Daphnia pulex: one gene and its partner. The protein of the gene in region 1 interacts with the protein of each later gene in a pairwise test. Links are inferred from orthologs where the notes say so. Each region holds a gene or a part of one and is shown in the gene's direction. Other genes may lie near its edges.

Evidence for each region.
Region 2: the proteins of cyclin-dependent kinase 14-like (region 1) and cyclin-Y-like protein 1-B interact in a two-hybrid assay, tested with the Drosophila melanogaster proteins (2 studies listed by BioGRID). The link is inferred for Daphnia pulex from reciprocal best matches to the Drosophila melanogaster genes Eip63E and CycY.

The regions. Positions count from the first base shown.
Region 1 is NC_060026.1:753,385-757,870, forward strand, and holds the start of cyclin-dependent kinase 14-like, read left to right. Parts: upstream 1-1,523; 5' UTR 1,524-2,064; coding exon 2,065-2,143; intron 2,144-2,211; coding exon 2,212-2,492; intron 2,493-2,565; coding exon 2,566-2,844; intron 2,845-2,925; coding exon 2,926-3,017; intron 3,018-3,089; coding exon 3,090-3,264; intron 3,265-3,326; coding exon 3,327-3,728; intron 3,729-3,791; coding exon 3,792-4,044; intron 4,045-4,129; coding exon 4,130-4,239; 3' UTR 4,240-4,486. Other genes in the region: uncharacterized protein LOC124204587, read right to left, coding at 1-61.
Region 2 is NC_060019.1:10,930,949-10,935,200, reverse strand, and holds cyclin-Y-like protein 1-B, read left to right. Parts: upstream 1-1,274; 5' UTR 1,275-1,478; intron 1,479-1,613; 5' UTR 1,614-1,659; coding exon 1,660-1,897; intron 1,898-1,963; coding exon 1,964-1,995; intron 1,996-2,055; coding exon 2,056-2,244; intron 2,245-2,312; coding exon 2,313-2,446; intron 2,447-2,510; coding exon 2,511-2,663; intron 2,664-2,738; coding exon 2,739-2,895; intron 2,896-2,965; coding exon 2,966-3,091; 3' UTR 3,092-3,936; downstream 3,937-4,252.

The DNA.
Region 1 (4,486 bases):
AGCAGATGGCGATCGATAGGATCAGTGCTGCCAAGATGATGGACTGCTGCTTATTCTTCATGGCGTCGGCGCTAAATAAATACACAGAAAACTTAACCGTGCGGATCTAATACACGACAGAGGACCGATCTCAGACGGACTGATGCGATTTGATGAACTCGTTCGTCCACTTGTCCCTATTTATACGCAACAACAACAATGAAAAGATCATATCGATCGACAGCCGAGCGTTTGGCTGGTCATTTCACACGTACGGAAAACCCCGCCAACTTTTGATTTGAATTCAATTAATAGCCTTGCGAAATTTTAAAATCATTTCCTGTCGATAGTGTCATAAGGTACACATATCCTTACAGCCTTGACACGTCATCAAAATGGCCGCTCATTTTCCAATTCGACCCAAATTTTCGACATTTGAAAGTCAATCGGAAATGAATCGGCAGAATTTCGATTTAATTTTGACGGTTTTTTCCAAAAGGAGCGTGACTCTAATCTTCCTACAGCAGCAAAGTCATTGTAATATAAAAACGTCACACGTTAAGACTTTTCTTTAATGAGGAAATATGAATATGACCGGGACTTAACAAAAGGAATATAACGACGGCGTGACTAAAAAGCTGCGGGTGGATTATTTATGCATTTCTCATCTCTCTACTTTGGTCGAATAAGAAAAGTTTCAATCTCACCCGCGCCTAGCGAACCATCAGACTATATAATAGTAGTCTGCCATACAACCATAAAGTTTGATTTATTTATATACGTTATAGAGCATTTGCGGGATGATGGGCTCCAGGGAGGTGTGTCGTCTATTATGGAATGGAAAAAGAGGGGGGGGGGGAAATATCACTCACTCACGACTGACACACACGACCAGAGCCAGCCACACCCTTTGAGCGATAGTCGTGTGTGTGTACAAGCAAAAGGTGAGTCGCCCATCACAAAAGGCGACAGAAAACCTTTGATTCCCAGCCTGGCTAGCACCACCAGTGTTTATCCAGGACACAATCTACTTGAAATCTATCGGCCATGGGAAAAGTTAATGAGCATATCTCTATACTATATAGCGCAGCTCATAGAAAGTTTCGTGTATTTTATAGATACCTTTTGATCTATTATTCATAGCGTTTCTATTGTATTAGCAAACACAATCGATGAATAATAAAGCACGACTACACAAACTCGGCTTGAGTATCATTATTTTTTGTGTATTTTTTTTCAAGGTGAAACTCCCGAAAAGAACCAGTTGTGTGACTCACAAAACATTTCTGGAATAGTTGGGAAAAAAATTTCATTTCGTGCATTCGCCTCGGGGGTGACATTAAATTTATGTAAATACTAACTCGTTTGGTCAAGATTTCACGAGGTAAAATTAAAAAAAAATGGAAAATATACATCTAATGTAGAGTAGTAGGTTATCTCTCCTGTTGTAAAGCCAGTTTTCTGTTGTTGTCCTTTTCTCTAACGGATCGATTTGACAGATGATCATTTGCCAAACGTGACAACGCTGTGCTTTAAAACACTCCCCCTCTCTTTTTTCTTTCTGCTGTACACACACATCAGAGAGAGGCTCACGGCATTATACACACACACACAATACTAGAAACATGGCTGCTTAGCACACACATACACACACTGTCGTCCGATTTTGACAGATACCACTCGTTAAAGTTGCACCAGTCTGCGTGAGAAAGTGAGCAGAAGGTAACGAGAAATCGGTGGCGATTTGTGAGGGACTTGCGCGTTCGTACGGAGCCCGCGCTCTGTTATCTTATCGGGCTTTGATTTGGCTTCCAAGTTTAGATTCGATCGCGGCCCCCTCCCACATCCTACTACTGCCCACTCGATCACGACTCGCAACCGCCCAATTTTTGTCGTCTGAGCTCCTTTGTGCTATCGGCTCGTGTGGGATATTCGCGACGAAAAGGGGAGTGCAACCTTAGCAATGACCACCATATCTCAAGTGTTGGCCAATCTCTACGTCACCATCAGTTGCTCATAGGAGAAATGCAGGTGCTCGGTCAGTGATCCGCCTAATACCCAAGAGTTTCCTCATTCCAGTTCGACATGTCGGAAACCAAGAACAAGCTCAGCAAGGTGGCCAGGCTGAGGAAACGACTCAGTGACAGCTTGGGCAGGCTGGCCTGTAAGTGTTTGCATCACCTTTTCCCCCCGTTGCCTCTTTTAATTTCTTATCTCTCTCTCTCTCGACAGCTCTGGCAAAAGAAGACTGGTCCATCAGCCGAACAAGATCTCAGACCAGACTCTCTCACATGGGCTACCGCAAGGACCACAACGGACTCAGCATGAGGGGCAAAGCAGGTTTCTCTGACGAGTATCTGGACAAGCTGGACAGCGAAACCAGGGACTCGCTGCAGGAGAATGGTGATGCATCTGGTGGGCAAGGTGAGCCAGACCTCCGATGGGAGAGGCTACGACTAAGTGACGGAGATTTGCTCAGCGCCAGCCGGGATCCAGAATTCGAAAAATTGAAGGTATAATTGAATCTAAAATTTGTTTTCCCCTGTTCCATTTCTTATGTTATTATTTTTGTATTAATGTCGACAGGGTTCTGGTGGTGCCGATTCCGGTTTGGGAAGTGACGATGCGTGTGCTCAAGATACCAGCAGCCGAATTGCTACGGTTGGAGGTGAACAAGTGGTGCTGAGACGTAGTAAGAAATCGTCCTCGTCCCACCTGAAACAGCGTCCCAAATCGGAGGTTTACCGACACCAGCCCATCGACCCTCACCTGGCCGGAGCCAGTGTCGTCCTACCCAGCGCATCCGCCATCAATTTGAAACCCTCCGAGTCTATTCGTCGCTCCAAAAGATACTCAGCCTTCGGGGTGTGTATTCAATTCATCTTTTTATTTTCATCCGTTCCTTTTTCTGCTTTTTATATGTTTCAAACTTTCCCGCCTTAATAGGGAACCAGTCCGTTTGGCAAAATCGAGAATTACCTACGACTGGAGCAGCTAGGCGAAGGCTCTTACGCCACCGTCTACCGAGGATTCAGCAAGTAAAAACTTTGAGTCGAGTTATTCGAAAATGTTGGTGACATTTCTGACCAATTTGTTTCTTTTAATTTTAGTTTGACTCAGCAAGTGGTGGCGCTGAAGGAAATTCGTTTGCAGGAAGAAGAAGGTGCTCCATTCACGGCCATCCGTGAAGCTTCTCTACTTCGTGACCTGCGTCACGCCAACGTCGTCACCCTGCACGACATTGTGCACACGAAAACGTCGCTAACGTTCGTCTTTGAATACGTCGTAAGTCTCGTCATTTGGCACATTCCGTTTGAATCGATTTTAATTTTTCTTTCTCTCGACAGCATTCGGATTTGGCTCAGTATCTGGAGAGGCATCCGGGCGGATTACAGGCTCACAACGTCCGTTTGTTCCTGTTTCAGCTCCTGCGTGGCCTCTCGTACGTCCACCGGCGCAAGATCCTCCACCGGGATCTCAAGCCGCAGAATTTGCTCATCAGCGAAGTCGGCGAACTCAAATTGGCCGATTTCGGGCTGGCCCGCGCCCAATCGGTTCCGTCGCACACCTTCTCAAGCGAAGTCGTGACCCTCTGGTACCGGCCGCCTGAAGTCCTACTCGGCTCAACGCAATACTCTTCGCCGCTGGACCTCTGGGGCGTTGGCTGCATCTTTGTCGAGCTCCTGACGGGCAGTCCGGCATTTCCCGGCGTCAAAGACGCTGCCGATCAATTGGAAAGAATCTTCAAGGTAAAATTTTTGCTCAATTTTGTATTAATTGACTTTGTTGATGAATTTTTGTGGGTCTCACAGATTTTGGGGACGCCGACGGAAGCGACGTGGCCGGGCGTGTCCCGTCTGCCGCTCTACAAGCCGCAGCGCTTGAACTTTTACCGGACGCAAAGGCTGGGCCACGCGTTCCCTCGTCTCTACGACATTAGCCAGGCCGAGAATTTGGCCTCGAAACTGCTCCAATTGCAGCCCAGCACCCGACTGACGGGCGAAACGGCCGTCCGGCACAAATTCTTCCAGGAGCTGCCCTCGCAACTATTTAACCTGTCTGACGGTAACAAAGAATTTAGGCTCCTTCTTATTCTGTTTTGAAATAATTTCAACAACCTTTTGAATTGTTTTGATTATTATTTTAATAGACGTGTCCATTTTCACGGTCCCGGGCGTCGGTCTCTACCCGGAAGAGCGGAAATTCCCTCCTGTCGTTCTCAGAGCGGCCCAGGAGTTGAAAAACAAGGCCAAATTTTAATTATTTTTTTAAATAACTAAAACACAAAACTAAAAAAAAAATTAAGAAAAAGAAAATTTCAGAAATGAAATTTTTATTTTCATTTCCTTCCTTCCTATCCCGAAATCCGTTCCATAATAGCCGCCATAAATGCCAATCCCGACACGACAAAAGAAAAGTCCTCCCGCACTATCAAACGGTATTATATATTCACTCGCTTTATAAGAGCGTCAAAGTGAAAAGAGACAACAAAAAAGTTATTTTATGG
Region 2 (4,252 bases), on another chromosome or scaffold:
AATGAAACGAACGAGAACCCAAAGAACTCGTTGGCTGGTTTCACATCTGGCGGATGGATAGTTAACTATAATCCATGTAGAAAAAGTTGTTGATTATTTTGAAGGTAACAAAGAAAGGAAGTATTTGAGGTGTTGCCAGAAAATTTCACTGCCTATGATGCCAACAATGAACCATTTTCAGATTTTCATGAGCAAACACTTTCCTACTTGTGGGAGTAACCTACATCCATAGATCATGCCCGTCCACAAATGGTAAAATGGACCTCCACCCAAAGCATTTATCAGGTCAAGTACAGCATCCTTAATAATGATAGACCAAACAGCTTCGTGGGTAGAAGAAAGACACAAGTCTTCAACCTACATTATTCTAGCAATAATTTAAGACAAATTTCTATTGCATGATTCATGGAACTTTTTCTTTCTTAGCCTGTGGGGGAAAACATGTGTTAATCTAGTTAGAAAGGCGGTGGTCATCACATGACACGAATAAAGCTATTTAACAGCAGGTTCTGGGAACTTTTCACTTTGACATAAAATTTATAAACTGTAATTGTTCTTACACTTCAGGTGGTGGTGTGATATCGACGATGTCATCTTGTGACCCGTGGGACGAATCCATCATGTCATCTTCATGAGTGCAGTCCGTACCGTCCAACGTGACCAAATCCTCCAAACACTCGACTTCATTTTGGTCGTCATCGGCCAAGTTGATTTCTTCGATAACACGACCGTCCGATTCTGCCATGGTAGCAAGTGTTTAAAAGAGAAGGAAGTCAGTAGATCTTTTTCCGAAATCTCTTCTCTTCTAGAACAAAATTACACTTGCTTAACCAAGAGTTTCCAGAACGAGCTAAAAAGTAAAAAGAACAAGTGAATCGATTCGTTTCGAATCGATCACTAGCGAATCGATTGGTACTTGACAAATGTCAATACGTTGTCATAACTACATTATTGAATAAATAATTTAAAAAAAACTCTTGTTTGTAAAAAAAATATGGTATAATTTGATCTGATAGTAATTTTCAATTGAAGTATTTTTGTTTTTTGGGCAATGCAAAGATGTGGCCACAAGTGCGCTCTTGAGTCGGCTAAGAACACCGACTGATAGGAGAACGCCTCTAAAATAGCTAAATAAATACATTTATTTAAAACTATCCATAGATTGTACTTTAAAAAATTAGTACTCATTTAAATTTTATTGTATAAATGATTTCGAGAAGAACTCACGCTGAATTGTTAAATTCACGCTTGTCCATTTATGAATGTGGCAATGTTGAGGGGCAGCTTGCAGCTTGCAGGCTTTTCCAAAGCAGCGGTTCCTAATGGAGTAATAAAGTGATTAAATATAGAATTCAAGTTTGACATTTGATTGAATATTATTTCCGGTCGTTTTGCGTGACCTGTTTTTCCGTTCTCATGAAGGCATTGATATTTGAACGACACATGTCTAGAAAACAGACGAAGACGACCCGTCTCCAGTAAGTCGGATAGAAAAATTCTTCCCTCATATCGATGGCGATATCGCACTGACTTGTGTTTTTTCGCCCTTTTCTTCACCAGACGGAACTCATTTTGATCATGCCTAGACTTATTTCGTCTTTTTCTGTCAAAAGATTTTGAAGAACTGTGATTTTTTTGTCCACATCAGCAAGAGTTATCATGGGTAACAAACACTCATTGGGCTGCTGTTATTACAACGTCAGTCCTCAACCCCAACGAAAAGTCAATGATGTATCTGAACGAAGAGTGTTAGAAGCACATGAACCCTGCAGGGCCGAAAGTACAACAAACCTACAGCATATCAGTGAGAGAGAACCTGAAGATTGGCAATCAGACCCGTCTCTCCACCCGAAAGCTGAAACAATATTTATGGAAAGATCAAGAGCTGCTATTCATGGTAAATAATATTTAATTTGGTTAATGTTAATTATACTGAATACAAAATTTTGTATGGAATCTCTAGAGGGACTAGAAAGGAGGAGAAGCCAACTTCAGGTACATTAATATTGATTTATTGCCGTGTCCATTTCCTCATTCCATTCTGTTTATTTGTAGCTCCATGATAGAGGGACCTTGAAAAAATCCAACTCTTGTTCTACCATCTATGTAGATGAGAGTACTGTTTGTCAGCCTAATTTAAAGAACACTATCAAGTGTGTGACACTAGCCATTTACTATCACATCAAGAACCGACAATCAGATAGGCAAATGGATATTTTTGACGAGAAACTTCATCCTTTGTCGGTCAGTAGACGTCATCTTATTTTGGTTGTCAGCTTTAATTTTGCTAATTTATTATTTCACTATTATAGAAGGACGGTGTTTCTAATGACTACTGCCGGTACAATCCCGACCACCGCCAAGTCTACAAGTTCGTCAGAACGTTATTCAACGCCGCCCAACTGACAGCCGAGTGTGCCATCATCACCCTGATTTATTTGGAAAGGTTGGACGTCATTCGAGGAATTACGAAATCAGCAGTGCAATAACCTGTTGTCTTTCCAATTCAGATTATTAACCTACGCAGAAATCGACATTACCCCTGGAAATTGGAAAAGAGTGGTGCTGGGTGCCATTCTATTAGCTTCCAAAGTATGGGATGATCAAGCAGTTTGGAATGTTGACTATTGCCAAATTCTCAAAGATATCACAGTGGAAGATATGTAAGTTGGCATAGCAAGAGATTAAAAGCTTATCTGAATGAACCGGGTCTCCTAATGCTTTCCTTTATCAATCAGGAACGAGTTGGAGCGTCATTTTTTGGAAATGCTTCAATTCAACATCAATATTCCGTCGAGCGTTTACGCCAAATATTATTTTGACTTGCGGACGCTTGCCGAGGCGAATGAAATGAATTTCCCAGCTGAGCCTTTGACGAAAGAGAAGGCAACCAAGGTAAAAACAAAAATTGTTTCACATTTCGCCATCCAAGTGAGCTGATGCAATAACCTTTTTCAAATTACAGCTCGAGGCCATGTCTCGTGTCTGCGAGGATAAATTGGCATCTGATATTTTGCGAGCAAATTTGAAACGCTCAGCCAGCATGGACAATGTCAACATTTCACGCCGGAGCATAGCCATCCTGTCGTAAATGAAGACGTCTTTTGTCATTGTGTAACGCATCCTCCGTCTTGTTTTTTGCACTCCCAGACATTCAAGATCCCCCAAACACTTTTTTCCCCCCTCGTCTACCGTATCCTTTCAAGACAATGAGGCTGGACTTCTTCCTTCCCACTCCGTTGGCTTCTTCTTCCCATCAAAAGTGCCTCATGACACTCTCATGACTTGTGAAAAATCCTTTATCCCATTGATTATTTTCCACGAGGAAAAAAAATTTACTTAATCAATTACGATTTCTATTTTCTCTCTCCCTACTGATTTTTTGTTCATTTTCTTGCCTTAATTTTCTTTTTTCACTTTTTATTATTTTTAAAAAAAATCCATTGCATGCTTGAAATGATTTAGCTCTCCTAGTCAATCAACGTAGATTCGAGGATGAAACACCAGGCGTTACGCCACACCAAGTCTCCCGAAAAAACACGCCATTTAAACTAACAAAAGAAAAAAGGACAGAGTAAAAGAAAGAGAGAGAGAAAAAGATAATGACTTAACCAATGTAAATTTTCTTTACTCCCAAACTACTCGTCCTACATATTACTACCGAAAAAGAACTACACAAAATTCTTATTTTCTCCCCTATCCCCAAAATTTCCCAGCCCTCGGTTTCCGTTTTTTGACAGTCTCGATTGGATGCCTAATATTCCCCCCCCCCTTTCAGCTCCCCCCTATATCCCTTCCAAAATAAAAAAGTTTTGCGGTTTCTTCCTTTTGTTTTTCAAAAAAAAAAATTTCGGTTTAATTCTTCCGGTACATATTTCACATGTGATGATATGCCGTTGATGGACAATTAATGATAATAAAGACATGTCATTCAAATTCAAAATTTTTAACTTTTTACAGTTGTATACAAGAGTCAGGGAAGCAGAACTTGGTAAATTATGCTATGTAAAAAATGTTGTTGTCTGTAGGTTTTTTGTTGCTTTCGTGATGAAATATGAATATGGAAACAAATAAGCAAGGCGTCGAATTCCAACTGGTTTTCAACCCTGGCGAGTGTTTCTTTCACTTGCATTTTTAATTGCTACACCGCTGCTGCTGGGTTGGTTATGCGATTATAACTTGATGCGTGCGTCAAGTGAGCCGTGATGCGCTCACGAATGCGAAACCATAGCGTGAGTCTGTATAAATTGTC